Linked DNA regions of Notamacropus eugenii. The protein of the gene in region 2 purifies or fractionates together with the protein of the main gene of each other region. This does not show direct contact. Links are inferred from orthologs where the notes say so. Each region holds a gene or a part of one and is shown on either strand. Other genes may lie near its edges.

Region 1 (7,772 bases), on a different chromosome or scaffold from region 2:
GCCAAAGGGCAGAAGGAAACCTTCATGATTGTGGGTATCATTGCTAAGGCAAAGTAGCCAGGGAGTCACTTGCCCTGGGGGTTGGGTGGTGGGTGGTGGGTGGGTAGGGCTCTCAGTTTCCTCAATCTTCATAAGAGGACACAGGACTAGGTTCTCTGGGGGCCGTGTCCAGCACTTTCCAGGGTGCCCCAATTAGACATGGGGTCTGAAGGCTTGGCTTCAAAGCCTGGCTTTGCCATTTCACAGGGATTGCAGGGAGTACTGGACAGAAGGCTGGACTTGGGATCTGGAAAAACTGGGCTCAAATCCTGTCTCAGACACTCAGACAAGTCACTGCCCCTCTTTGTCTGTTTCCTTTTCTGTAAAATGAGGATTGGACTAAACTCCCTTCTGAGTTGAAATCTATGTCCTTTTTACCTTGGGCTAATCAAGTCACCTCTGGTGGGTCTCAGTTTCCCCATCTAGGGTTACCCTCAGGGAGCTCCCATTCAAGTGTACATAATGTGTACTCATGTACAGGTGAGGGGGAGGGGTGTCTGAGACACCAGAGAACCAGGGAAGGTAAGAGATGTGGGGGTGGGGGGCAAGCCATCAATGGCAAAGGCAGAGAGGAGAGAGGGAGTTCAAGGGGTAAAGATGAGTCGGGAGGCATGAAGGTCAAACAAAGAAATCTCTATCCCACCCTCCAGGTGGTGCACCAGGTGGTGACAGGGCAGGGAGGAAAAAACCAGCCTGGAGCTGAGGCTCCTGCCAGGGGATCCAGGCTGGGGGACGATGACCCTGGCTCTCAGCCTCCAGTCTGTCCTGGGAGAAGGTGAGCCCAGCCCAAAACAATCAAATCTTTACCTTCCCAGCCTCTGGCTGAGCCACACCACAGACCAAGGAAGGCAAAATCAAGCTGGACTCTAAAGTGAGACCCCATTTAAAGAGTCCCAGGCCCTCACCAGAAATGTCTAAGTCCAAAGGGGTCCAGCTGTCCTTCTCTGAAAGGGAAATCTACGAACTGCCCACCTCTCCCCCCAGGCTCCCCCATCTAAGCAGTTAGAGCCCAGATTCCCAGGGGCCCACACGACCCAAGGAAATTCCATGCAGATGAGTTACAGGAAGCTGCTTTCCACAGAAGACCTTTTTAGACCCTAAATTAGCTCTTCCGGTGCCCTTAAAGGTTAATAACAAATAACATTGCCAGAGCGCTGGAAAAAAAGAACCACCGACTGGGTGCTGGGGACAGCGCAAATCCTTTACAGTGTTCACAACAACCTTGGGATGTAGGAGCGATTATTTCCATTTCCAGCTCAGGAAACTGAGGCAGACAAAAATTAAGTGAGTTCCCCAGGGTCACATCACACACAGCAAGTAAGTGTCTGAGGCTGGATCAGGTCTTCCTGACTCCAGGCCTAGTCCCTGACCCACGGGGGCCACCTCTAATTAGATTAGTTCATTTGGTCCACACCACACCTGTGGGGGGTGGGTGCTATTATTATCTGTACCCTACAGAGAAGAATGGGAACGAGAACTAGGCTAACCCTGCCCAAACCCGGGTCCTGCTCCTTCCACAGTCTCATTCCTGCTGCAAGACAGAATCTGCCTGGTCCTCACAGTGCCTCAGGCCCCTGTGCCCAGACTGGGCCTTGGACTGGAGGGGGCAGGGGAAGGCTTTTCTCCCTATTTTCCACCAGCTACATTTTGGACCCAGGGACCTTGACCATCCTGGCTGCCCACCTCAGGACACTCCGCAGCTTCTTTATCCTTCATAAATAGTAAGCAGACCCCCAGAACTGAGTACCATACTGCTGAGGAGGAGGTGGAGGAGGAGGGGGAGGAGGAGGAGGAGGAGGTGTGCCTGAGGTCTGGTGACTGGGAGAGAACACAGAGGGGTGGGTCCCCTCCACCTGGGGGGCTGCTGACTCATCCTGGGTCCTTCGATCTCCTCCAGACCCCCGGATCTTTCTCACAACCGCTGCCCATCGTCCCTACCTAGGTATCTTACTAAATTAGCCCAGGCTGGATCCTGGCTCTGGCAGCCTCTACGGTGGCATCCCTGCGGCCAAACATCCTGCACACACGGCACCATTCGGCCAGTCATTGATCCGAGGGAAGGGGCCTGGGGCCACGCGCAGGTCCCCGGTGCCCCCTGGGCACCCCTGCCCAGTGCACGGAGCCGCTCCTGGTCATGGGCAGCTTCGGACCGAATGGTCCTCTCTCTCCAAGCATCCACGCGCGACGCACTTGGCTGAAACCTGCCCCAATTCTCCAGGCACTCCGGCCTGTGGGCAGCCCGGCCTCCGCTCGGACGTGGCCACGGCGGGGGGCACCCCACCCCCACAGACACCTCTCTGATTTCGGGGTGTATCGCAAGTCTCCATTCCCGGAGGGGCCCCCTCCGCTTTTAGCCTCCGGGGGTCAGCAGACGGTGAGCCCCAGGGCAGGGCCGGCCGGGGTGTCCCCAGCATGAAGCCTACGTTGGGCGGCAGCCCCAGGGGCAGCCGGGGAGGGCCATTTTACAGAGAAGGCAACTGAGGCTCAGAGAGGCCCAGGGGCTCCCCTGGCGCCGGGTGCCGCGGGGCTCCTGACCACCCTCCCCCCGCCCGGAGCAATGGTCCGGTCCGGGCCTATGGAACCCTCCCCGGCGGACGCTACCACCGCTCGCGCCGCGGGGAGGGAGGGGGGCGCGGCCGGGACGAACCTTTCGCGGGGGGTCCAAGATCCAGGCGGCCGCTCCGGGAGGTCCTGGGTCGGGGGGAGGGGAGGGGACGAGACAGACGCGGCCGGCTGCGGGCAGTGTCCCGGAAGTCTCGCCCAGGGCCCCACCCACCGGGGAGGGGCCGAACACGCCGGGACCCGCCCTCCGAGGAGCGAGCGGGAACCGCTGTTCTACGTCATCAAGGAGCGCCGAGCCGCGAGGGACTCTGGGACGCCGTCGGCGCCCCGCGTTTCCATAACAACCGGGAACGCTCCTGCGGCCTGTTAACTTGCGGCGGTGCAGGACCGTGGGAATTTTCCTCTTCCGGCGTGCGCTCCGGGAATGCAGCCCCAGGGCCCGTCCAGGCCTGACCGCCCCGCCCCCCGCGCTCGGGGCAAATGGCTAGAGCAGCAGCCACTCCCATCGCCCCCTAAGGCTACTACTGGCTTTGTACAGAGGGGGAAACTGAGGTTCCCGGGAAAGGGACGTAATAAAGAAACATACCTACAGTTACATAGGACTTTAGAGCTTGTACTGCAGCTTGTAAAGCCAGTCTTTCCTTTGGGTCTTACAACCACCCGGGGAGAGAAAATACTACACACACAATTGTTACTGCCGTTTAACAGATGAGGAAACTGAGGCTCCAGAGTGGTTTGCTCAGACCTTGGGTCTGTCATGACTTCCAACGTTCACGATGACGCTGGAAGGGAACAACACCGAGACACTGGTGCACTTGAACACTGCTTTATTGGCATATTGTCATCCAAGTCAAAATTCCTGGCTCTGTACCTATTTGGGATGGGGGTTTCCTCTCACCAAGGGGGTTCTTTCCCCACCCAGCCTGATTCCCAGGGCCGTGCCAGTCACAGATGCCAAATCTTAGAGCTGGAACAAGTCTCCTATTCCAGCTCTCTCTTTTTACAGACATGTAAACAGACTCGGAGAGGAAGGGATTTGCTGAAGGGTCACACAACAAGTCCGAGGCAATGTTGGGGCTGGCGTCCAGGACTCTCAACCTCCTTCTTCCCCTTAAATCATCAGATTCAGAGGTGAAAGGGACCTTGGTCATCTGGTCCAACTCTCTCATTCTACTGATGGGGAAACTGAGGCCCAGAGAGGGGAGGAGAGTGGCCCAAGATAAGTGGTGAGATAAAGGGCAGGGACCTAGGGATATGTAAAATGAGAAGAATGAAGACTTTTGGCAGCTATCTCTGAACCACAATTCAAGCTTCCTGAATTGAATGAAGCTTATTTCTTCTCCCAAAGTCCCCACTCCCTTTCCAAATCCCTTCTTGTCCCCCACTCCCCAAAAAATCTTACCTCTTGGCTTTGTCACATCAGTGCTCATCACCCACCTAAAAAAGGCCCACCCCCAGGGTGAAGGACTGGGTTAGCCCCTCTTGCCTCCCACAGGCTTGAGGGGGAAACCTGAAGAGCCAAAGGCCCCAGCCCTGCCTTTGGAGGCTGCTCTCTAGGTGGGTCGGCAGATCAGCATCTCCTGGGAGAGTCTGGGTACTTCATCTTCAACTCCTGTTTGAACTGGCGGAAGAGGATTTTATTCCGTTGATTCTCTGCCTCCTTCTGGGGGTGGAAGTCCCCTGGCATCTTGAAGCCCTTGTGGACCAGGAAAGCATCATTCAGCACCTCAAACTCATACCCTGCTACGTGGAGCTCACAGGCCTGGGAGGGAAGAGGGGGAGAGGAAACGGTCAAACTGGCCCTGGTTATCCTCCTGCCACCCCCATCAGCTCTTACCAGACACCTTTTGTCAGCCCCTTCCCTCCCACCCCAGGGAGAGAGCGACCGGCACCTGGCTGATGCGGTTGAAGCCATACTGCCGAAACCTCTCATCGTAGGAGGGCACTGCGCCTCCGGCCACATAGAAGGGCTCCCAGGGGTCCTGCCAGGTCACGCGGTAGGCAGGTCGCAGGGGTCCCCCTGGGGGCAAGGTGAGCCATCGAGAGTAGTTGGTGGGGGCGTGGCATCGAGGGCACAGTTCAGCATAGAATGGGCGAACGTGCCCCATCTTAAGGAAGCGCATCAGCTCGATTTTGGTGCGGGGGACCCGAACCCCCTGGCGGATCTCGAAGGCCGGAACCACCAGTGCCCGGCCTGCCCTGCCCTCGCCCAGGGCCAGCAGCTCCAGCAGGCCGGTCCAAAGCCCATCGCTGGGCACCATGTCCACGTCCACGACGAGGGCATGGCCGGCGCCCTCCCGGGCCACGTTTCGAAGGAGGTTGTTGGGGTAGGAGACGTTGGTGGCCAGCGCGTAGTTGCGACCTGAGCGGCTCCGGGCGCCCATGCTGGTGAACACATCTGTGCAGCTGCTGAGGCGTGCGAATTCGCCCGGCTCCCGCGGGTCAGGCACTGCGGCCTCGGTGCGCGCAGGGCACACCAGGTGCATGGTGAGGCGGTCGCGCACGGCCTGCGTGCAGAGAGCGCCCAGCGCGTAGGTCAGCACCGTGGCCAGCTGCGCCTCGTCTGGCCTCGCAGCGAACACGGCCACTGCCAAGGGCCCGGCCCAGCGCTCCAGCAGCGTGCCCACGTGGCCCAGGTTGCTGAGGCTGGCGTGGGTGGCGAGCAGCAGGGCGTCGCGCGGGCGGCGCGAGGGGTCCCCTAGAACGTGCCGGTACACGCGGTAGTCCCCGCTGGCGTCCAGGGCGCCGCCGGCGGCCAGCACGGCCCGCAGCTGCTCCTTGGCGCTCTCGGCCGCGCGGCGCTGCAGACTGGCACCCAGGGCCGCCCCGCCGGGGAACAGCTGCCCGTAGCGGCGCCGCTGCTCGCGCCCGTGCAGCCCGGCCAGCAGCGACAGGTAGACGAATTGCAGCAGCGCCACTGCCAGCAGCGCCGCCAGTGCCAGCTTGTAGGCCGAGCAGCGGCCCGCCGCGTGCCCGCCGCCCGCCGCCGCCGCCGCCACTGCCAGCGGGTTGGGCATCGCGTGCCGCCCAGGCCTCCCGGGGCAGGAGGCTGGGGAGGAGGCGAGGAGCGGAGGAGGGAGGCCAAGCCGGGCGAGCGAGCGCACCGCGGATGCAGCTGCCGCCGCCGCCGCCGCTATCCCTGCTACTGAGACTGTGGCCAGCCGGGCACTGGGGGGCCGCCGCGGAGCGCACTCTCGCCCTCTGCCCAGCGGGAGGACGCACTGCAGCCGCGCGCCCCACGGCGAGCCCCGCAGCTGTGTGTGGCCCACGCAGATGTGCGGTGTGTGTGTGTGTGTTGGGGGGTAGAGATGCCCAGGTTCTAACAGGAACGAGAGAGAGGGGCCCGTGGCCTGGCTGGCAAACCCAACCTTTCTGGAGGGGAACAAGGCGCCTAGGGGTGGGCTGGCAAACTGCCCTGTGCCTTCCTCCCTTGCAGAAAAGAAAGGGGGGAAGGAAGCGCTCGAGGCTTCGCTTGCAACTTCCAGGCAGTGCCTCAGGCAGCGTGTCCTCCCTGGCACAAAGGCTCGTGGCTCCCTAGGAATTGCCAGGAAGGGGACGCGACACCGGCAAGCCCCCTTTTCGGCCGCACAGGGCGCGCCAAGCTGGAGTCGCAAACACATGTGACCGTGGAAGGACACCCTGACACCTGCGCCCGGGTTTGCAGGTTCCCACTCTAGTTTGCACTCCCGCAATCTTTTCGGGGGGTGGGGGGAGGGACGTGCCCACAGCTATCCACAGAGGCCTGCGGAGGGAGGGATGTTTCCTGGTCACTCGGCAGTCGCGGCCACCCTTTGAAAGGAAAACGCGAGCATGGAGCAGGAAACGAGCCCCTCCCAGGGGTCCCTGTGCCGCGCCTCTCCTGGCATCAGAGATCCCCCGCCCGGCCCGCAGAGGAGGGGAAAGGCTGGCGCGGTGCTCTCCGCAGCCGGACGCAGGAACAAGGGGCTGCGCGGAGAAATCAGCCTGCGGCGGGACGAGGTGGCCGAGTGGTTAAGGCGATGGACTGCTAATCCATTGTGCTCTGCACGCGTGGGTTCGAATCCCATCCTCGTCGTTCCAATTTTCCGCTGGCCCCGCAGTCATTTTCCTCCTCAGCTCCCTCGGAAGGCTCTCGCGTGTTAGGAGCTTTGGGGAAAACAGCCAGAGAAAGGCACGGATGCCCGTCATCCCTCCCCTTCGCAGGAGAGACTCAGACCACCCACATTTTGGCTCCAGTTTGACCAGATCCCAGAGAAAGGAGGGACCTTCCGAGGGAAGTCGTGGTGGTTGTTGGGCTCTGTCCAACTCGTGGTCTTCCTGTCCTAAGCTCCGTAGCCCCAAGTGCCCAAGATTAGCAGGGAGATCTCGATCTGGGTTTGGGATTGGCTTTCGACTTAGCAAACACTGCTGGACACCGAGAGGGCAGAGCCCTGAGATGGACATGGGGCTTCCTGTTGAGGTCGGGTATAAACACACACGTGCACACGTTGTCCCTCCCTTAGGAAGAAGATAATATTTGGGAGCAGCTTTCAATTTCTGCAGCCTCGGTCCCTGGCGCACAGTAGGTGCTTAGTAAAAGCATGCCCACCGATTAAGCTTCGAGGGAACTTTGTGCCTTGTGTTTGTTCTGTGGAAAGAGCTGAAGCTGGGCCCCAGAGGAGTGACCCTCTCCCCAGAGGAAGATCTGACCCAGTGATAATCTTTGGGATGGGACTCAGCCTCAAGAAGGCAGGGCCAAACCAGGGCTCTCCCTACCCATGGCCAAGGAACTGAGGAAGAAAAGGGAAGCTCATGAATTCATTGGACCTCACAGCCAGCCAGAGTCAATGCCCAGTCCTGATTGCTCCCGGCCACCACCACCAGAACAGAAACAGCCAGAATTTATTAGCATCTTAAGGAGGACATTTTCATGTTGGATTCTCATAACCCTGCCAATTAGGTGCTGTTATTATCCCTGTTTTTACAGATGAAGAAACTGAGGCAAATGGGTTGTTCAGTCACGCAGCTAGACTGTGTCGGAGGTTGTATTTGAACTCAGGTCTTCCTGATTCCAGGCTCTGAAGGGTTTGAGATGATCACTTAGTCTAACCGCCTCAGAATTCAGAGGGCGCCCTATTCCAAATCCAGAATGCTTCCTACTGCTAAAAACCCCCTCTAAAGCTAATTACATTAAGGCTGCTATGTACCACCCC
Region 2 (8,107 bases):
TGGGAAACATTAAACATCAAATTAAGACTTAAAACAGAAAATATCACAAAGTCAAACTTCACCTACTTGCAGGCATAACTATTAACAATAACATGCATTTTAATTATTTCACTGCAGGAATATTAGTTCATGACATAGGTATTTAATAAATATTTGCTGAATTGAAAAACAAAAAAATATAATAACTACTTATCTACCTCTGGAGTATCTATATCTTGCACAGGTGAATCACCTCCATCATCATCACTGCCTTTCCTCTTTCTTCTGTTTCGAACACTCTGAATTAAGTTTTTGTGAAAGTCACAAATATAGAGGTGTCTTGCCTGGGGGGAAAACAGACATCATCAAAAAAAACCCAAGTCTCCAACAGAGCTCATTATTACATAATTAAACTAAAATCTAGATTCTAATCTGGAAGTACCATATGCTATAATGAATTATTAAGGATAAAGTTATAAGAAAAGTAACTTATAAGTTGGACGTCTTCATTTCTATCATATTCCTTTTCCCCCCAGAATCCTTCATGTGAAATCACCGCGATTCATCTGATACAAAGGAAAGAGCACTTTACCTTGTTGTGTTGTGACTAGTCTATTTCAGAAATGGTATGCTGCTGAAGAGAGACAATAGAAGTTTTTTCTAGGCCTTTATTTTCTGGCATCAAAATGCTATGGGAGGGCAATGAGTCTAGGGCTGTCTCTCTCAAATATAAGAAAGGCTCTTTTTACTGTAAAGCTCTTTTGAGTAGCACACTGCTTTCTCTAGAGAGGATCTTTTTAAGTACAACATGTTCTCTATTTTTCCCCTTCTTTCTTCCAAACACAACTTCCAACTTATAATCAGGGTATCATAAATACTTAGTAGATAGCAACTTTTTTAAAAAAGTTAACTACTAATTCCAGTTTCTTTATTCATAATTCAGATCCTAATAAACTGGATTATCACCGAGTCTACATTTCTGTTTCCAATGGAATCTACCCTCCCAATAGTTTCAAGATAACTTTCCATGACTCAAGAAAATGAAACTCGTAGAAACAAATACAAGTTAACTTTTAAACAAACTAATTTACTTATAACCTTTTCGATTGTAACACTATTTAAAACTGTATGTTGACATTAGAATCAAATTATTTCATATCACTTCCCGTCCTATACTTTAGGTTCCCAAACTGGACTGCTAGTTAGTCCTTGAGCTGGAAAAGCCTTCTTTGTGCACTGCTGGCCTGGCCTGTTCCTGTTTCAGTTCCTGGAATGCAGGCTCTTCTACCACTCAGCCAATCAAAATTCCTTCAAGGTTTAGCTCAGGTGCCTCCTCCGAGAAGCATTCCCAGATCCTTCAGCTACGAGTCTTTTTCTCCCTCCTCACATTCTCTTTCGGTACTTCAGAGATCTCCTTTGGCCCCAACACATTCTATCAACTTTTTATTATATTACTTTTAAAAATAAACCCAGTCAACGTAAGCTCCTCGAGGGGATGTCATCATTCATTTTTTCTTTCCCCAAGCCTCAAACGCACGGCGTCTTATTAAATACTAGTCAGTTACCAGATGTGAGTTGATTTCTTGCACTTTTTCAACAAATACACATAGTCTAAAGGGCGATCCTTTGTCTTACGTGAAGGACTTGCTCGACAGACCCTTACGAACGGATTTTTAAGCTCAGAGGAAGTTAAGATTCAGGAAAGAGCGTGCTTATTTTTAAGGAAGGAGGAGGCTTGTTTTTGGCTGGCCTTTGAAAGAGCTAACAGTTGTTTCACCTTCCTCCAGGCAGACAAACTAAACGGATCAAACCAGCTTCTAAAAACCTCGGACACGATCACGGGGGCAGCCCCGGAGGTCTGCCAACAAGAACGTGAAATGGCAAAGACCTACGAGCAACACACCCACGAGGCAATGCCCAGGTCCCTGTCCACCAGCCCCCACAGACAGTGGGAGGAGCTCAGGCTTCTCTCCGTGTCGTGTGTGTCGTGTGTGTATACACGAGTGTGTCCGGGGAAGAGAGTGGAGGCAGCCCCCCGCCCCGCTCCCCCACCGCCGACTCCATGGCTGTCCCGGACCAGGCGGGCGGCTTCAAACACAGCACCGAGGGACAACCACGAGCCGGGCCAATCTCCACGTCCCAGCTCGGGCAGCCTAACAAAGGAGCCTCCCTGCCAGGCTGGGCCACGGGGCGGCGAGGAAAACAACTCTTCCCCTGCTCGCTTCCCCCGCTTTGTTTCGCTTCCCAATCGTGCCCCAAAAGACGCCGAGGGGGAAGAAGGAAGGGAAGAGGAGGGGGAGAAGTGGGCGCAAAGGAAGACTGAGGGGTGACGGGGGGATGAGAGAAGTTAGGGGTGGGGGGAAGGGAGGAGGGGAAGGAGGAGGTGGGAAAAGTTCGTAGAGGTGGACGGGGTGGAAGGGCACGGGGGCCAAAGATAAAGGTGAATGGGGGAATGGGAGAAGGAGGTGAACGCGATGGAAGAAGACAGGAGAGGGTGGATGGGGAAAGAGGGGGCTCCCGATGCCGCCGCAGGAGTTGCGGTGACTTGGCTAACGCCGCTCCCGCAAGTCCGCCCGCAGGCGCCGGGGCCCCAGGGTCACTCACCGTCTTGTCCAGGTCGATCTTGACCTTCTTCTGGGAGATGCTCTTCTGGATCCTCTTGCTGAAGCTGGCGTTGCCGGCCGCCCGGCTGCACCTCTCCCCGTCCTCCCGCAGGCAGCACAGCTGCCCGGGGCCCGGGCCCGCCGCTCCAGGGGGACCCGCCGCAGCCGCCGCCGGCCCGGAGCCCGGCACCTCCGCCCCGCTCGCGGCCCCCGCCCCGGCCCCGGCGCCCGCCCCGGACGAGGCGGCGGCGGCGGCAGCGGCGGCAGCGGCGACCACCACGGCGGCCACGGCGGCGGCCGCGTCCCCTCCCCGGCTCACCTCGTCCGGGGGGAAGCCGTTCATGGTGGCCTCCCCTCCGAGGCGGCGGCGGCGGCCGGGGGAGCCCCCTTCTCGCCTCCGCTCACGCACCCCTCCGAGCCGCGGCGAACCCGGAGCCGGACCGGACGGCGGGAGAGCGAGGGGGAGGCAGCAGCCTGCGCTCCGGCCTCGGTCCCCGCTCCGCTCCCCGGCCCCCGAGGCACCTGCGCTGGGCGGACGGAGCGGTCCCGCTCCGGCCCGGGCCCCAGCGGCAACTCACTCCGCACTGGCCGACGACCACCCCGACAATCCTCTGCGCCCGGCCCGGCGTTTGCTCTTCGTCCCGGGCCGGCAGGCTCCGTGTCCCGGCTCGGGAAGGGGCGTCCGGCTCCAACCGCGCTCACTCTGTCATGTGGAGACTCTTCAGCTGTTAGGCTGCTCCCCCTTCCCTCCTCCGCCTCTCCACAGCCCGCGGCTAGTGCGCAGGCGCGACACTCCTCCGCTCCGCCGGCCCCTCCCTGCCTCTTCCTAACACAAACACTCTCCTCTCCAACCCCTCCCACCTCAGAGAATGAAGCATTATGGGCAATGTAGTCCGTTCCGGCTCTCTTTCCACCTCCCTCGACCCCATACTTTATTTCTTCTCGGCTTTGGCTCGCCCGGGCGGATGAAGAACTACTAAGACCGAAGTGCACTGCGCAGGTACATGCTGGCAGGCCTGGCTCTTTCTCAGCTCTCTCCTGGCTGCCTGGGAAAAGTGGAAGTGCAGGGTCGGCTTCTCCGGATTAGACTTTCCCACTTTGGGGTGATCGCTGGGAGGCAGGCTGCCCGAGGTGCCCCGCTGGGCACTCGCTTCGCTCCCCGTATGCCAAGTGTGTGCATTGGGAAAGGAGGCAGGGGGCGTGGAGAAGGTGGGGAAAGGGTCCCGGGGCCTCTCACGCACCGAGCTACCCTTGGCTCAGTGTAAAGCCCCGCAGACCGGAGCGCCCTTCCCGGGACCTCCTGCCGCTGAGTCCAGGTATCCTGCCCAGTGGACAGTGCCCCAAGTCTCTCCCCGGATCTCCAGCCCCCGCATTTCCAACGGCTTGTTGGGAGCTAGGGAAACGGGGACTCTTGCCCACAGCCAGGTGGGTTTCCTGGTGAGAGTCGCAACCCGAACCCGGCTGGGTTTCGCGCCCCCCTTCCCCATCCTCTCCCAGTCAGTTGACGAGGCGGGGGCGGGGGTAAGCTTTATATAACCTTTGCATTATCCGAGCACACTAAGCCTGCCAGTTTTGTCCACCTCTTTCCTTGGGCGGAGCTAACAACTTGTCCGGAAAACAAAGAGGCGGAGAGAGTCTTGGTTACCAAATCAAGAGAGGGCAGGGGGCGTGGACATGCACCAGCCCGTTTATCCTTTTAAAGGCTCCAGCTACACGAACGCGGCTCGGCAGAAAGTTTGAAAGTCTTTGTGACCGTCCTGTTTTCTTTGGCCTTGTCCCCCACCCTCCCCACCCCCACCTCGCTGCTCAGGCTTAAAGAGAGGGGGTCAGATGGAAGTTCCGTCTTTGCTGGCGTGCAGAACATGTTAATAACGGAGTGAGGATTGCCGGCTCCGTCTGGACTGGGCTGTAGGCCTTTTTCTCTTTGCCCACTCACTTCCTTGCCATCCTCAGACGAGCTGAACCAGTCACACACCCTGACTGCGAAGGGAGCGCTCAAATCTCTTCATTTTTGGTTAGATGCGTTCAGTTCTTTCCACCTCTAAAACTTTTCCTCAGAGGTGCGAGAGTCCGGGAGATCCAGCTGCTTGCTGGACATCCCGACCTGGGAGCACTGGAAACCCTAGCCTATATCGAACTTAAACCGAACGCCTCTTCCCCAGGAGGTTGGGTGGGTGGTTGATTGGTTTCAGGAGTTCTTCACCTGGGGCCAGGGACTCTTAAAAATTTTTCATAACTGTGCCTTTGTAATCCTATATATTTTAGCTTACACATGTTTTAAAAAAATTTGAGCATACGTAGGCTTCAACAGACAGACAGGGGTCCAAAACACAAAAAAAGGTAAGAATCTCTGGTAGTTGAATATCTTCCCCCAAACGTGTCTCTCTCCTTGTCTTCTCTATTTCTGTTGATGTCACCACCATCCCTCTCCCCCAATCCCATGAAATAACACTTTCCCTCTCCAGCACTTGTTATGTATCCTTTCTTGCTTTTGTTTGTGTGTGTCATATTCCCTCTTGTTTAGTCGTTTTCGTCTGTATTCTACTGTTCACGACCCCTCGAGATTTTCTTAGCAAAGATACTGAAGTGGTTTGCCATTTCCTTTTCCAGCTCATTTTACACATGAGGAAAATGAGACAAACAGGTTAAGTGACTTCTTCAGATCTGAATTCAGGTCTTCCTGACTTCTATCTCCGGTGCTGCCTAGCTGCCCTGTCATATTCCCTACTGAATTATGAGGCAGGGACCTTGTCTATCCTGTCTAATCCAAATCTCAACCATATTTCACTGGAGCTGGGTGAGTCCACAATGGACACTTAATAAATGTGTTTAAGTAAATCAAATCCTCACCCAACTCATGTCACTTTTCTAACTTCTCTATTTCTGTTGATGACACCAACATCTAGTCATCTGGGTAGTTGTCTGTGACACCCCTCTCCCTGACCCACGCTTAGCCCCTATCCAGTCAACCAGTAAGTCCAAATAATTCTGTCTTTTAAGTATCACTTTTATCTTCACACACATTCCTCACCAGCCTTTTCACTCCCCCTACAATCATCTTGTTTTAGGTCCTATATCTTCTCTCTTCCACTACTATACCAAGAAAGCTACATTTCTTGCCTCCAGCCTATTTCCTCCTCCACATGTCTTCTATATTTTACTGCTCTTACCCTCTATCTGCCTCAGTTTCCAAAACTATAAGATGGAGATAATAATAGCACCTATCTTGCAGTGTTGTTTTGAGGCTGTAATGAGATATTTGTAAAGCACTTAGCACCATGCCTGAAACATTGTAAGTGCTTAATAAATGTGTATTTACCTAATCCCATTTTGATTTTTTTTTCCTGCTTGATTTCTCTATATAGAAAGTTTTTTCTCCCGTACGGCATGAAGATTATGAGTATTTGTTATTGCAGCAACTATTATGAACATCATTCTTAAGTTAAAAAAAAACTGCATGACTGCTCTATAAATATTAAAAAATCTTTGATGCCTTTTCATTGCGTATTGAATAAAATATAAAAAATACTTCTCCTAGTATTCAAGAACCTCCACAATCTAGTGTCAGCATACCTTTCTAGCTTCTTCTTCAACCATTCCCCTCACATAGTGAATATTCCAACTAAACATGACATATGGAAATTGGTTGAAGAAACTGGGGATGTTTAGCTTGGAGAAGAGAAGACTTGGAGGGTAGCTGTCCAGTGTCGGAAGGGATAGCATGTGGAAGAGAGGTAGTATTGGGATCCTTGGTCCCAGAGGGCAGAAAAGAACAATGCAGTAGTTAAAGTCCTTGGTGTGAAGTTTCCAGTGAGTATCTCTGTGCCTAGCACATAGTAGGTACTTAAGAAATGATTACCGGTTGACTGACTGGAGTCAGAAGACAGGAGTAGAAGTGATGACCATTTGTTAAATGCCAACTATGTTCCAGGCACTTTGCTAAGCACTTTATACATATCTTACTTGATCCTCACAACATCCCAGGGAAATAGGTATTTTGTATTTGAGAAAACTGAGGCAGACAGATTATATGGTTACATGAGTTGCCAGAGTTATAACTAGTAAGTGTATGAGGTCAGATTTGAACTCAGGTAAATCTTCCTGATTGCTCCATGTCCAGCACTCTCTCCATGGTACCACCTAGCTGATAGTGTTCATGCATAGAACACATATGGTCAAGGTAAGCATGTAGAAGGATGCATGTAACCAACACATGTAGTGAAGACACATACTTGGAAGGTCACTAATACTCTGATGCCGCACAGTTTCCATTTCCTTTTGGAGATGTCAGTTCAACCTGCCCTTTACCTGGTCTGCTCTCTGCTTTATATGCTTAACATGGTTCCTGCTAGTCTTTGCCAGGTACAGCCCCACTGAGCCTGAGATTATGGAGATTCTCTTTACTAACAGCTTTTGGCTTAATTGGGAATGCTTATCTCTTCTTCAAGAGAGGAGCAAAACTCTTTCTCCCAAGAAGAGCGCCTTTAGCCATTGCTCCTTTAGCTTAAAGCGCAGAGGCTTCTCTGCCATAGATCTTTAGAATAGGCATAAACCCTAAAATATCCACTCACTGATGAGTAAAAAGTCCTTTTGGTCTGCTTGTTTCTCAGAAGCAAGAATGAATATTTCCTTTCCTAAAGGAGATTCCTCACTCCAAACATCAAGCATTGTAAAACACAGATAACAACATAGTAATAACTAGAATTAGAACTTACATAGTTTTTACTGTGTGCACTTTGTTAAGTGCTATACAAATATTATTTCATTTGATGCTCACAACAACCCATGAGAAAGATGCTATTATGGTCCAAATTTCACAGAGGAAAAAACTAACTTTAAAGAAGTTAAGTGACTTGCCCAAGACTATATAGCTAGTAAATATCTAATTTGAACTCAGTTCTTTCTGACTTCAGGTCCAGTAGTTTACCCACTGTACCACCTAAAATGCCAACTTCATTGACCAATGCCCCCAAGTTTAATTCATTTTTTTCTTCTCTCTTTCCTGATTACCAAAGACTACGTCTCTCTCAGAGGCCTCACTCTGACTTAGGGTCAGAATGTCCATGCACTTCCTAGTCAGCTATTTTTCCAATAAACTGCGAACTGTTATCCATATTTGTAAGATTCCAATTCTCAAATACAAAACTACTTTGTAGCAAAGTCCACATTGCAATGGATCAGCTTCCCTAGTAGAAATTCTATGTCCTTCAAGGAATCATTCCAATTGAGAACCAGTTACTTGTCTGTCATCAAAGGTGTTCCCTGCTGTGAACTCCTCAGGACTCTGGAGAAAGAGAACTTCAAGATCTGTTATACTACCTACAAATATGCTTCACTGCCATTATGTTTTTAAGTTTATTACTGTTCTCTTACTCTACTCCCTGGACTCTATGTACATTTGTGAGAAAAAATGTACACTGTGTTTGGAGGGAGGGGCAAATATTTTATAACACTGTTTTTGGCATGTAACTAGGTCACACAGTGGATAAGAGTGCTGGATTTGGTATCAGGAAAATCTGAGTTCA
Region 3 (7,011 bases), on a different chromosome or scaffold from region 2:
CCTCATCTATAAAATGAGTTGGAGAATGAAATGGTAAACCACTGAAATATCTCTGCCAAGAAAACCCAAAAAAAGGGTCGCAGAGTTGGACATGATTGAAATGACTGAACAAATACTACATGACCTCACAGGTTTCTTTTAGCTTTAAGTCTAGGGAACAATAGCAAGTGTCTCTGAATGCTAATTAACAGAAATGCTCAGCCATCCAGCAATAATAGAGGTTAGAGAAGAGACAGAGATGGTCCAAAAACTGGCAAGGAAAAGTATAATACATGTATGTCATACTGATACTAAGCCATACTGAATTTGAAATCAAAAAGGATTCTCACTCAATTTCCAGTTTTGTCATTTCCTAGCTGTGTGACCTTAGGCAAGTCACAACCTGGGCTTCAGTTTCCTCATCTGTAAAATGAGGGAACTGGGTTGTTAATCTCTGAGTTCACTAAATGCTAGCTATTATAGTATTCCAGCTCTAATCTCCATAATCCTAAAATAGCTAAACTTCCTACCCCCAGGTTCTAAATCCAGGAATCTCAGAATTAGAATAACCCTCAGAGAGTACCAAATACAAATGAAAATTCTCTCTACATCATAACCAACAGAGACACCAAAGCCAGAAGACTGCCAGTGTTTCAGATGCTGGAAGCTAGAATAGAAGTCATTCTACTCATGAAGAAGTCCTTAGGAAGTTCTTAGGTAAAAGCCAAATTTGCCTCTTTGCAGCTTTTACCCACTGCAGGGCCAATGACAGGTACTTTGGATATAGTCCTTTAAAGCTAAGGTTTAAAATAAAACAGCAAATCTTTAAGATTTGCAGAGCACTTTACTTTGAGTCACATAATAATACTTCAAGGGACGCATTGTTATTATCCAAATCTTACAAAAGAGGACGGTGAGACAGGCAGAGGCTGAGTGATCTGCCCAAGATCACATACCCACTGAGTGCGAGAAAAAGAATTCAAACTCAGGTCTTGACTTTAAGTCTTATGCTCTCAAAGGTGGGGAACCTGCAGCTTCAAAGACATACATGGCCCTCTAGGTCCTCAAGTGCAGCCCTTTGACTGAATCCAAACTTCACAGAACAAGAAGTTTGGAATCAGTTCAAAAGGTCACACTTGAGGGCCTAGAGGACCACATGTGGCCTTGAAATAGAAAGTTCTCCACCCCTGCTCTCTCAACTGTGCCACCTAGCAGAAGAAATCTAATCTGACTTCCAGGTGAAAGCTCTGCAAAGTATTAAAAGTCATTTACTTATTCACTAAGTATTTATTATACATCTTCCACCAGGCAAGGTTCTAGGGATGTTTTTGGGCTGTGGAAACAATCACCACAGAGTACTCCTGTGAGTGATATCTCCTTCATCAATGGAAACAAATACACAACTGCAGCGGGTCTCCTGCCTCAGCCCCTTGAAATGTGGGCTCCTAGAGGGCAGGGGAACCCAGAACTGGCCCACACAAAACACACTCAAGATTGTTCCTACAACTTAGTCTTAAGAGAGGTGCCTTAAGGCACAGTGAGGTTAAGTGCCCAGGGAAAGCCATCACTAGAATCCAGATCCTCCCTACGTCTTCCCCCCTCTCTGGTCACACAGCAAGAGGCTGGATATTGGTGTCTTCACCACACAGCAAATAATAACAATAATAATAGCTAGGATGGAGGAGCTTCACAAATATTATCTCCTTTGGTCCTCACAACAACCCTGGGAGGTAGATACTACTATCATACTCATCGTTTGATTTTGTTCAGTCATTTTCAGTCTTGTCTGTCATGACCCCATTTGGGGTTCTCTTGACAGAGATCCTGGAGTGGTCTGCAATTTCCTTCTACAGCTCATTTTACAGATGAAGAAACTGAGGCAATCTAAGTGAAGTGACTTGCCCAGGATCACAAGCTAAGAAATGTCTTAGGCCAAATTTGAATTCAGCTCTACTCTAGGCCCAGCATTTTATCTACTGGGCCATCTAGCTTTTGTTTATTTTTCATATTTAAACGTTTCCTGTGGTTTCTAAAATTATTTTTACGGAAATGACATTAGAGCCTTTGTGCTCAAGAAGCTTATATTCTTCTTAACACATTCCCTGTCACGCCAGAACGTAGCACACAGTAAGTGCTTTAAGAAATGACTACGGAGCACAGGATTCTACAGAGGGAAACAATGTTACAAAGCAACTATACAAAGTAAATACTGTGGGGAGGGGCCTAATTTGTCGGGGATAGAAAATACCAGAGTAAATACAAAGTAATTTGAAAAGAGACACCAGCAGCAGGCAGGGGGAAGGGCCCAGGAAAGGACTTCCCCCCCCGGGGGCTTACACCTACCCCTTTCCAGCCCCCCTTATATGGTGTCTCCCCCATTAGAATGGAAGCTCCCAGCGGGCAGAGTGTTTGTTTTGCTTTTATTAGGATTCCTGAGGCTTGGCCCAAGAGCCAGCCGAGCAAACAGCGAGTGTTTAATAAATGCTTGTTGACGACACAATTAGTAGCTTTAGAATTAAGTAGGTAAAATCTAGAGATTCTAAAAAGCTCTAAGGAAAGGATGGGTCTCAGTTTCCCCTGCTGCAAACAAAGGTAACTGGTTCGACATGGTCTCCGAGGTTCCTTCACGGCTCTAGTTTTCATTCGACGATTCTCCAACTTTTCGGTCCCAGGATTAAAATTTGAGGGACTCCCTCCCCCCAAAAGAGTTGTGGCTCGAGTGGAGTCTATCGATATTTACCACAACAGAAATAAAAAGTTTTGACAAGGCTGCCCCCCTCCCATCCCCAGACCACTCTGAGAACGTCTGGACCCAGCCCGAGGCGAGGAGAGCGCACTGCAGGCGTGGGGCCCGACTTGGGCAAAGGCGCCGAGGCTGGACGCCCAGCTCTCTCTCGCTCGCTCCCCTCCCCCGGCCCGGCGGGCGGCACCTTCGTCGGACTCGCGGCCGCGGCAGCTCCGCTCGTCGTCCTCGGCGCTCTCCAGCTCCTCCTCCTCCTCCGGGTAGTACTCCGGGGCGGGTGGCGCTCCGGCCGGGGCCGGGGCCAGCAGCCCGGCCGCGCTCATGGCGCCGCCGCCCGGGCCTGGGGCCGCGGGAGGTGTCGGCCTCGGACTCAGGGACGCGAAGGGAGCCCAGGGAGCGGCCGCCTCGGCCGCCTCAGCAGCCGCCGCCGCCGCCGCCGCCGCCTCCTCCTCCTCCTCCTCCTCCTCCTTCTCCTCAGCCGCCTCCTCCTGAGCCGCCTCCTCCTCAGCAGCCTCCGCCGCCGCTTCCAAGCCCCGCCCCCGGCGCTCGCGCTCGGCAACGGGGCCCTCGCGCGGCTGCTTCCGGGTCACGGGCTGCCCGGCGCGCGCCTGATCCCGCCCGCTCCCTGCCCCGCCCCGCCCAGCCTAGAAAAGCGAAGACCCCCAGCTCCTCACCTGAGTTCATGACGCTTCTCGCTCCCACCTCAGCCGGGTCCGTGCAGACGGCTCTAGCAGCCCCAGGGGTGGGAATCATGATTATGCATGAGCAGGCGAAGCGAGCGGTGCCTCGCGGAGCGGTCAGGACCCGCTCCTCCTCCGCTCCCCGCCCCTCCCCGCCTCTCTCTCCTTGGAGCTCCAGGACGCTCCTCCCCCAGTGGCCACGAGGCGGCGCCGGAGCCCGGGCTGCGAGTCCGGGTCAAGATCACCGCCCCCGCCCCGGGTCTCCAAGTTCAAACGCTTACGGGCGGGAAGCCAGAGGATGGGGCTGGGAGGAAAGGTAACCCGGGACGCCAGCCCAGGAGAGTCTCGGATTCCTGGGGGGTTCGGGGGTGGCCAGACCCCTCTGTGCCCATCTGTAGAATGGGCACGCTGATTCCCGTAGCTGCCTTCTCCGGAGGCTGCGGCAGAGGTGCCAACGACAGGCGCTTAGCTGCTTTTTGCAGACTTCCTAGCGTTTACATAAAGGCTGTCCTTGAAGATTAGAATGGAGCTGGGGAGTCCCGAGGAATCCAGGTTAAGAAAACCAGATTAGACCCATGCGGGTCTAAGATCCCTTCCAGGTCTGGATGTCTATGGAGAGCTGGAAGGGACCTTTAGGCTAATAACTGATCGGGCAAGTATTAAACTCCTTCTGTGTGCCAGGTGCCGGGGAAGACAAGGACACAAAGGAAACAGTCCCTGTCCTCAAGAAACTGACATTCTGAGGGAAGTCAAGTTCATAGCAAAGTAAATAGAAAACGGAGGATGTAAGTAGTGACAGACGATGAACGAACTTCACAAAGAACAAATACCACGTTACTGGGCGCAGTGGATAGAGCACCAGGTGGGGAGTCCGGAAGACCTGAGTTCAAATATAACCTCAAACACTAGCTGAATGACCCTGGGCAAATCACTATCTGACTCAGTTTCCTCTTCTGTAAAATGGGGATAACAATAGCCTCTCCTTTCCCACCCCGCCCCCCTATAATTGTAAAGTGCTTAGCTAAGTGCCTGCCAGATAGTAACCACTATATAAATGCTATCTATTATTATTGGTGTAATTATCATTATGATTATTAATGGGAAGAGGAAGGTGTCCAAGCAGGAAAGGCCTCTTGAAAGAGCTGTCATTTGAGAACACAGCACCCGAGAGGTTCTAAAAGGCTGAGGCAGGTTCTTAGGGAAAGAATAACTGATATTTATGTGCCACATTAGAGTTTACAATGTATTTGACTGACTTTATCTCATGGCAGCCCCACAAGAACCTGGGGAGGCAGATATTCCCAGACTTATTGTCTCCATTTTACATCTATTTCAAGCCCCTCTTTTGAAGAAGAAAACTGAAAGCCCAGGACATTGTGAACTCCTTCAGAGCAGGGCCTTTTTTGGGTGTGGAAGGGTTTCTCTGTATCCCCAGCACTTAGCACAATGCCAAGCACATAAGAGGAGCCTAATAAAATGCTTCTTGACTTGACTGACTTGTCCAGAGACGGTAACCGGCAGAACCTGGGTTCCCTCCCAAGTCCTTAGACTCTCACTTCAAAGCACAGCAGGCCTGGGTCCTCCTGGGCCCTCCCAGCTCTGGCATTCTATCTTCTATGGCCCCACCCAGTGTAGAATCAGAAAAAGAAAATCAAAAGTCTGTACTTCTGATCTACTGCTTTGAATATCAGGCATTCAATACAGGACAAGTAAGAGGTAAATAAATATCACGGCTTTATTAAACAACTCAATTCAAATATTTTCAGCTTAACAGAGGGCAAAGGTGGAGGGGCGGGGCAAAAGGCTAGGAAGGAATGTTTTCCAGATGATTTTTACCAGTAACCAAAAAAGAGAGGATGGGGAGGAGCTAGGTGGCTCAGTGGATAGAGCACCATGCCTAGAGACAGAAAGAATCATCTTCCTGAGTTCAAATGTGACCACAGGCACTTACTAGCTGAGTGACTCTGAGCAAGTCACTTCACCCTGTTTACCTCACTTTCCTCATCTGTAAAATAAACTGGAGAAGGAAATGGCAAACCACTACAGTATCTTTGCCTATAAAACCTCAAATGGGGTCACTGAGAGTAAGACAGGACTGAACAATAAACAAAAAAAAAGTTTCGCCCCCATCTACTGCCCTGTTAACCATACAGCCAATCAGGGTTACCTATGAGATCTTGTTACACTTGTTAGAACAAACTAATGTGGGCATTTTCCTTAGAAAGGAGGGTTTACCTAAAAATTTAAATTTGCACATGAATTCATCCTGATTGCTTATGTTACTTATGACCTATTGCAGAGCTGGATGAAGCAAATATTTGCTGATTCTTTTATTAAGGGGCCCGGAAGGGGGCTCAGATAATTCCAGACCAAACCTTTCATAGGACAGATAAAGAAACTGCTGCCTTGAGAAGAGCTAAGTGGTTTAGCCCAAGGTCAAGGCAAAGCTAGAACAAAATGACACACAATTTACCATGAACATATCTCCACAGATGTTTGCACCAAATTTAGTAAAAAAAATAAATAAATAAATAATTTTTTTTTTTTACTTTATGGAGAGGGGAAAATGAAACAAAGTAATAGCAAAGGCAGGGGTGGAACCCAAGGATTCTGAATTCCCAACCTTGACTCTATCCAGACCAGGGGTGGGGAATCTTCGGCCCTGAGGCCACATGTGGTCCCCTAGGCCCTCAAGTGCAGCCCTTTGACTGAACCCAAATCTCACAGTGATCCCAAAGGGATTTGTTTGGTACAACTTGCACTCAGTCAAAAGGCAGTACCCAAGGACCTAGAAGGCCTCCAGAATTAGAGCTCCCCACCCCTGATTCAGCCTAACTTGGCCTTTCATTGTGCCAAACTTTTCCTCTGTTTGTTTTCAGATTGCAGTTTCATGCCTTATTCCAATGTAAACCCCAGTCTTTTCTGATAGTATTACCAAGCATTTGTCTGCCCAGAAAAGATACTCAAATATAATCTTGTCCAGAATGGGGTGAATCTTAAATTATATTCTAATTTTACAATGTTTTTCCAGGAATTTCTCAAATTCTAACAATGTTACTGAACCAGTGTCAATCTCAGGGCTCACTACCCCACTTCTCTATTTTTAAACTCAAGATTCCAAATTTGACTACAGACTTCAGGAAAAGATTGTGTATGTGTGTTCTATTTGCACCTAAATTCCTCATCATCTGCTTTCATTTTGTCATAAACAACTCACCCGCTCTCCCCAAAGAGGAATTTCCCCAAATCCATCCTCCACACTATCTTCTTGATGTAATATCTCAAGAAATCACTGAAATTCCTCTTCTTCCTATCCTCAACCCAAAACAGTGTTCAAATACTCTGCTAGGTCAGGTTACCTGCCCTCTCCTAAGAAATTCATTTCAATGAAACTTTTGGTACCATCAGTATCTACCTAGGACACTTCCATATCCCCAAATACAAATGTTGATTTAAAGAGGAAGAGAATAAGGTTTAAAAGTAATTAAAGAATGTTTTACATGCCTATACGTTGTTTTCTAAATCCCAAATTTGAAAAGCACGGGCATCAAAAACCAAAGAAACAACCCCAAATGCAAAACAAACACTCTCACCATTCAGACTGCAACG
Region 4 (7,246 bases), on a different chromosome or scaffold from region 2:
GGTCATGCCAGACTAATTTCATCTTTTTTTTTTGACAGGATTATTAAACTAGTAGATGAGAAGAATATTGTAGATATGATTTACTTCAATTTTAATAAAGTTTTTAACAAATTACCTAATCTTTTCTTATAGAGAAAATGGAGAGATAGGGATTAAATGATATTACAGTCATACGGTTTGAGAACTGGTTGGATGGCAAGACTAAAAAGAGTAGCTATTAATGGTTTAATATCATCTAGGCAGGAGGTTTCTAGTAGAGTAATCCAAGGATGAGTACTTGACCCTGTGCTACTTAAAAGTTTTATAAGTGACTTGGATAAAGACATGTTTATCTAATGTGAAGATGACACAATGCTGAAAATGATAGCTAAATGGATGATCAAGTAAGGATCTAGCTGAATCTATAAGATGAAAAAGACCTGGGTGGTTTAATGGCTTAAGCTCAATATTAATCAGAAGTGTGATATGGAAACTAAAAAAGCTAATGTAATTTTGGGCTTCATAAACAAGAGGCACAGCTTCTAGGAAAAGCGGGGTATAAACCAACAATATTCTGCCTTCATCAGAATTAATCTGAAACACTGTTCAGTTCTAGATGCCACCGTTTTAAAAGGATATTAATAAACTTTTGAGTGTCCAGAGAAGGGCAAACATAGTAAAAGGTCTCAAGTCCCTGACACATAGGAATCTGTTAAAGTAACTGAGAATGTTTAAGCCAAAAGAAAAAAAAATGGGAGGTTAAGGGGGTAGAACCTGATAGGTAAATTTAATTATCTGAAGGGCTCTCATGTGGAAGAAGACTAGATTTGTTCTATTTGGCCACAGAGGACAAAACCAGGAGCAAAGGCTAGAAATTACAAAGAAGTCAATTTAGGTTTAATGTTAGGAATAACTTCCTGACAATTGGAGAGGTCCAAAAATGAACTTGGTTGCTTCAAGAGGTGATGGATCCCCCTCCTTGGAGATCTTCAAGCAGACGCTAGATGAGCATTGGTAGATATGTTATAGTAGGAATTCCTTCACATATGGACTATAACATTGCTTGAAGACTGTTTCAACTTTCAAATGCTATTATTCTGATCCCTTCTTCTCCAGCAAATTACAAACTCAATCATCTCCCTCCTCTCTCTAATCTTCAACTTCTCCCTATATACTGGCTCCTTCAAAATTTGTCCAAGAATCCTCCATGCTTAAAAAAAACCTTCTTTAACCCCCTCAAGATACCCATCCTTCCTTTCTCTGTCAAACGCCTAGAAAAGCTGTCTACTAACCATTGCCTCCACCTCCTCTCCTCTCACTCAAGTCTTCTCTATTGGCTTCATCTCATAACTCAAATGAAATTGTTCTACACAGTTAACAATGATCTCTAAATTGTTGGTTCTAATGGCATTTTTTTTCAGTCATTCTTGGACCTCTTTGCAGCATCTGACATTGCTACTTTAACCTGGATACTGGATACTTTATCCAGGGATTTTGAAACATTATTCTCTCCTGGTTCTTCTCTTACATGTTGACTGCTCCTCCTCATTCTACTACGCTGGCTAATCATGGTTCCTAACTGTGAGTTGATCTCCAATCCTGGACTCTTCTGCTCTTTCTACAAGGTCATTTAGGGACCTCATCAATTTCATTGCTTTATCATCTCTAGGCAGATGATTCAGACATCTATACATCCAGTTGCAGCTCCTCTGAGCTTGAAGTCCTGCGTAACAACAACAACTAATTACTTATTGGACATTTCCAAACAGATTATACCTCAAACTCAACATATTCAAAACAGAGCTCATTATCTTTCCTCCAAACTTCCCTATTTCTTCCAGTCACTGCTGTGGATAGTATCAGAGGTTCTGAATTCTTCACTTTCCTTCAGAGCACATATCCAATTAGTGGCCAAATCATGCTATTTCTACCTCTCCCACATAAGCTAGATTATTTCAATAACCTCCTAACTGGTCTCCCTGCCTCAATCCTCTACTCACTCCATTCACCCTCTATTCTGCTGCAAGTGATCAGGGCTGACCATATCATCCCTTACTAAATACTCTAGAGGAAACTCAAGAAACGTTACTGGTGGGCTGGTTGATTTGGAGGTAGAGGTGAGGGAAAAAAACGGCATTAGGACAGAGGAAAGTGTGCTCTCACTCCGGGGGCGTGGGGGCACCCACCCAAGGGGAGATGGCCGAGCCAGATCGGCTGCAGGCAGGGGCGGGCAGACACAACGAGGCCTGGTGGGGAGGAGCGATCGCCACCGGCTGCCGGGGCAAGGACGTGCCAAGTGACCAGAGGCAGCGGAGAGTGTAAAGGCGTTCCTCCGCGCAGGAAGGGCCACACGCCTCCGCTCCGCTTGCCCACGCCAGCTGTGGGGACCCATGACCCGGCGTAGGCGTACAGGAGTTGCTGCCGGCGCCTCCTCCCCTTCCCAGCCCCGCAGAGGGCGGAGGGACGCCGGGACAGGGGCGCGGGGTCCCTAGCACAGGCCTGGGAAGGAGTCTCCGCCCCTTCCCTTCTCTTTTACCCCCTTTCCGGGGCGAGTGGACCAGACGTGAGGCTGGGGCAGAGAGGCCCGGCCGGGCGGCCGGAGATCTGACCACCTACCTGAGCTGTCCCCATCCTCGGAGACGGACGAGCTCTCGGTGTCCTCGTCCTCCGAGGTGCTTCCCTCGTTCTCGGCGTAGTCCACCTCCATTTCATCGTGATGGTTCGTCTCCTTCTTGTCCCCGCGGGAATGGACAGGCATTTTCTAGTCGCCCCCGGCGTTTATTTCTCTTCCTCGCAGGCTACGGCCCCTTCCGTGCGGCTATGTGCGCAACCCCACTCCAAGCGACACGACTTCTCCCAGAATTGTCTTCTCCCTATCTGGAACTCACAGCCTAACCCGCCGGCTCCCGCGATGGAAGCCCTGCCATTGGAGAACCCCTTCCATGAAGCCTGGGAGGCGGGGCTTGGCCGCACGTTGAAGCTTCGAAGGCCCGTTGCCTTTCGGGAGTTGTAGTCTCTGCGAAGGAAACCCGAGTTGACTGGATTTCACAGCCTCAGCCCTGGTGATTTGGCATAACTGGAATTCAAGTCCCAATAAAGCACCAATCACATACACTCAAATCTCATTTATAGACAGAAGCACATATTTGATACATACGTGAACTATTTCCATTTTCCCATTAAACAGCTGCCATCTGAGTACCCCACCCCCAACTGTATAAGTCTATCAGAAATAGAAAATTATTTCCTCTACCCACCTTGGTTCAGAACCTCATTGTTAGTATCAATAACTTCACCGACTGTTAGAATAAGAAACCTTAGAGACTAATGTAATCCAACCCCTAATTTATGTAAAGACAAGAAAAATGAAGACCTAGAAAAATTAAGTAATTTAACAAAGATCTCACAGCAAGTTAGTGGCAGAGTAAGGGCAATAACCAAACTCACTATCAATGGAGTATAGTGGGAAAAGTACTGGATTTGGAGGCAGGATGTGGGTTTGAGAGTGGCTCTCATCACTTGGTTCTATCCTTGGACAAGTCTTTTAACCTCTGTGTGACTCAGAACATATGACTCAATATCTTTGGCCTCAGTTCCTTCATCTGTAAAAAGAAAGTCTTATTCTAAATGATCCAAGTGATGGCTACCAGTTTTGACCGCCTACTTACAGGAAGGCCGGTGCTCATTCCACTAAATTGCAGTCCTACTGAGATAATAAATTTGTATTTTCTATCTCAATTTATATGATTTGGCTACACAATACATAGAATTATGCAAATAATTGTTTTAAAAACTTCAATTCTGTTCTCTCAGCCACAGAAACAAGAGGGGATAGTGAAGAAGGAGGTAAAGCATAAGAGTAACTGAGAAGAGGATAGTCAGAAGCAACACATTTCTGTTCCTGAAGAGGAATCTAAAAGAGAAAAAGAAAAACAAATACAATTTAAAGGGTGTGGTGCCCATCAAGGCAATATTAACATTAAGTTAATATTAATAATATTGCGCCTTATGAAATGAGGAAAGAGAATATTAGAGAATCCTGGAATAAATGAGATGGTGAAGAGTGATAAATGAGAAAAATACATACAGAAAACAACATTGTAAAGAAAAACAATTTTGAAAAACTTAAAGCACTCTTATCAATGCAATGACCAACCATATCTTTAGAGGCTATAGGATGAAACATGATATTATTCACTTCCTAACAGAGAAGACTCAAAGTACAGAAACAGATGTGCATTTTTTGATTTGGCTACTGTGTGGATTTCTTTTGCAAGGGTGGTTTTTGTTGTTTTCCTTGTTTTCTTTTTTTTTAATTGAGGGAATTGGTGGAGGAGGGAGAGATTGGCTAGTAAGGGTGATGCCAAAAAGGGGGGGAGGGAGGCAATAGAACTATTTTCAAATAAACAGAACACAAGGAAGTTCAGAAGCATTAATAGACACAGATGACAATTTTTAAAATAATTTGTGGAAATATGTATGTGTGTATAAACATACACATTTTTAAATGTGGCATAAAACAGATTCACAATTTCATATACAATACTTTTTTTGTTCTACTGTAAGTATGAAAATTATCTTTGTTGCTTAAGTTCAGAATTAACAAATAATATTTTAAAAAGTTAAGCTTAGGGGAAATGGATACTGGTTAAACAATAGAGAGGTCAATTAATGGAACAGACAAGGTACATAACATCCAGAAACAAATGAACACAATAGCCTAGTGTTTGATAAACCCTAAAATCACAATTACTAGCTAAGAACTATTTGACAAAAGCTACTGGAAAATTTGAAATGTAGTGTAGAAAAAATTATATGTAGACTTAACATCTCATTCCATATAACTAAGGTAAATTCCAAATGGAATGTGATAGATATAAAAGATAACATCATAAATATATTGTAGAAGCAAGAAAAAATGTACCTGGAGGGGGAGAGGGGAAGCCAAGATGGTGGAGTAGAAGGATGCATCTGTAGAAGCTCTCCTCACCATAGTCCATAAAATATCTGTAAAAAATTACTCTAAACAAATTCTAGAGCAGCAGAAGCCACAAAATGAAGGAGTGAAACAGATTTTCAGTCCAAGACAGCTTGGAAGGCTGACAGGGAAGGTCTATCTCACAGGGCTCAGAGCGATGCGAAGCTCAGCATGGGCCTCGCAGCACGGAAATGACTGGAGAAGGTTTCAGGGTGTGGAATCACAGGTAGCTGCTGGGGTTCCCAGATTTGTCAGCCCACAAATGTCAAAGACAACTTCAGAGGTCAGTAAGATAGCTCTTTCACCTGGGAGAGAAGGGAGTGAGGTGAACCCCAGCCCCAGATCCAGGGCTGCAGCAGCCACTGAGGTAGCAACATCCACTTTGGAGTCCTCAGTCTAAAGACCATGGGGGAATCCAGCAGCTGATCTGGATCTCAGTCCTAAGTGGTAGTCCTGGAGTGAGGAAGAACACTAGCATGGTAGAGCTGGTGGTAGCACTGGAGAGAGAATCCTACTCAGTTCCAGGGCAGAAAAGAGTGCTTGTGTTTGCTCACAGACCAGAGCGCAGGCCAGGAGAGGAATAAACTCCTCTCCCTTGACTGTGCCACCTTGGAGGAACTAAGAACTTACAGGTCCCTAGAGTATACCCTCCACTTGACAAAGGACTCAAAATTCAAGTAACTGGCTGGTAAAATGCCCAAGAAAGGGAAAAAAAGTCAGACTATAGAAGGTTACTTTCTTGGCAAAAAGGTATTTTCTTCCTTCCTTTCAGGTGAGGAAGAGTAAAGCACACCATCAAAGAAACACGTCAAAGTCAAGGCTTCTACATCCAAAAAAATATACAATGGTCTCTGGCCATGGAAGAGCTCAAAAAGAATGTTGAAAATCAAGTAAGAGAGGTGGAGGAAAAACTGGGAAGAGAAATGAGAGCAATGCAAGAAAATCACGAAAAGCAAGTCAACAGCTTGCTAAAGGAGACCCAAAAAAAAAGCTGAAGAAGATAAGACCTTTAAAAATAGACTAACCCAAATGGCAAAAGAGGTACAAAAAGCCAGTGAGGAGAAGAATGCTCTAAAAAGCAGAATTGGCCAAATGGAAAAGGAAGTTCAAAAGCTCACTGAAAAAAATAGTTCTTTAAAAATTAGAATGGACCCAATGGAGGATCTCAAGGCAAAATGCCTGCCACACTCAGAGAGAGAAATATGGAAGTCACTCACATATTGTAGCAGATCATGTTTGTGTATGTGTATGTGTTTGTGTATCATGTTCTGATTTGTTATACGATTTCTTTCATTTATCTTAGTCTGACTACATAGCATGACTATAGTGAAAATATACTCAATAGGAAAGTATATGTAGAATCTATACAGAATTGTATGCAGTCGTGGGGAGGGAGGGGGGGAGTGAGGGGTAGGTGGGGGGGATAAAATCACAATTGTATGGCAGTGATTGTTAAACATTACAAAATAAAAAAAAAATTAGAATGGAGCAAATGGAAACTAATGACTATGAGAAATCAAGAAATTATAAATCAAAAGAATGAAAAAATAGAAAACAATGTGAAATATCTCATTGGAAAAAAAAACTGACCTGGAAAATAGATCCAGAAGAGATAATTTAAAAATTATTGGTCTACCTGAAAATCGAAAAAAAAAAAAAGCCAAGACATCATCTTCCAAGATATTATCAAGGAAAACTGGTCTGATATTCTAGAACCAGAGAGCAAAATAGAAATGGAAAGAATTCATCAATCACCTCCTGAAAGAGATCCCCAAAGGAAAACTTCTAGGAATATTGTAGCCAAATTCCAGAATTCCCAGGTCAAGGAGAAAATATTACAAGCAGCCAGAAAGAAACGATTCAAGTATTGTGGAAATACAATCAGGATAATACAAGATTTAGCAGGTTAAGGGATCGAAGGGCTTGGAATATATTCCAGAATTCAAAAGAGGTAGGATTAAAACCAAGAATCAGCTACTCAGCAAAACTGAGTATAATACTTCAGGGGAAAAAAATGGAATTTCAATGAAACAGAGGACTTCCAGGCATTCTTGCTGAAAAGACCAGAGCTGAATAGAAAATTTAACTTTCAAATACAAGAATCAAGAGAAACATGAAAATGTAAACAGGAAAGAAAAACCTTAAGGAAATCTTTAAAGTTGAAGTGTTTACATTCATGTTATTTGTAACTCATCAGACCTTTTTCAGTTTTAGGGTAGTTAGAGGGTATATATGTATGTATGTGTATATATATACACACACATATGTACACATACATATGTGTAGGTA

Evidence for each region.
Region 1: the proteins of SAP30 (region 2) and BRMS1 purify together in Homo sapiens (affinity purification with mass spectrometry; 3 studies listed by BioGRID and IntAct, with this or other methods). This does not show direct contact. The link is inferred for Notamacropus eugenii from reciprocal best matches to the Homo sapiens genes SAP30 and BRMS1.
Region 3: the proteins of SAP30 (region 2) and SUDS3 purify together in Homo sapiens (affinity purification with mass spectrometry; 4 studies listed by BioGRID and IntAct, with this or other methods). This does not show direct contact. The link is inferred for Notamacropus eugenii from reciprocal best matches to the Homo sapiens genes SAP30 and SUDS3.
Region 4: the proteins of SAP30 (region 2) and BRMS1L purify together in Homo sapiens (affinity purification with mass spectrometry; 4 studies listed by BioGRID and IntAct, with this or other methods). This does not show direct contact. The link is inferred for Notamacropus eugenii from reciprocal best matches to the Homo sapiens genes SAP30 and BRMS1L.

The regions. Positions count from the first base shown.
Region 1 is NC_092873.1:18,947,483-18,955,254, forward strand, and holds the start of BRMS1 (breast cancer metastasis-suppressor 1), read right to left. Parts: upstream 3,121-7,772; 5' UTR 2,687-3,120; exon of another isoform or gene 1,937-2,686; intron 1,761-1,936; exon of another isoform or gene 690-1,760; intron 1-689. Other genes in the region: B4GAT1 (beta-1,4-glucuronyltransferase 1), read right to left, coding at 4,172-4,363, 4,494-6,221. UniProt on the Homo sapiens protein: Transcriptional repressor. Down-regulates transcription activation by NF-kappa-B by promoting the deacetylation of RELA at 'Lys-310'. Promotes HDAC1 binding to promoter regions.
Region 2 is NC_092878.1:87,835,462-87,843,568, reverse strand, and holds the start of SAP30 (histone deacetylase complex subunit SAP30), read right to left. Parts: upstream 3,054-8,107; 5' UTR 2,926-3,053; coding exon 2,584-2,925; intron 324-2,583; coding exon 198-323; intron 1-197. UniProt on the Homo sapiens protein: Involved in the functional recruitment of the Sin3-histone deacetylase complex (HDAC) to a specific subset of N-CoR corepressor complexes. Capable of transcription repression by N-CoR.
Region 3 is NC_092875.1:27,137,158-27,144,168, forward strand, and holds the start of SUDS3 (sin3 histone deacetylase corepressor complex component SDS3), read right to left. Parts: upstream 3,141-7,011; 5' UTR 3,046-3,140; coding exon 2,910-3,045; intron 1-2,909.
Region 4 is NC_092872.1:328,079,810-328,087,055, reverse strand, and holds the start of BRMS1L (breast cancer metastasis-suppressor 1-like protein), read right to left. Parts: upstream 3,016-7,246; 5' UTR 2,738-3,015; coding exon 2,596-2,737; intron 1-2,595. UniProt on the Homo sapiens protein: Involved in the histone deacetylase (HDAC1)-dependent transcriptional repression activity. When overexpressed in lung cancer cell line that lacks p53/TP53 expression, inhibits cell growth.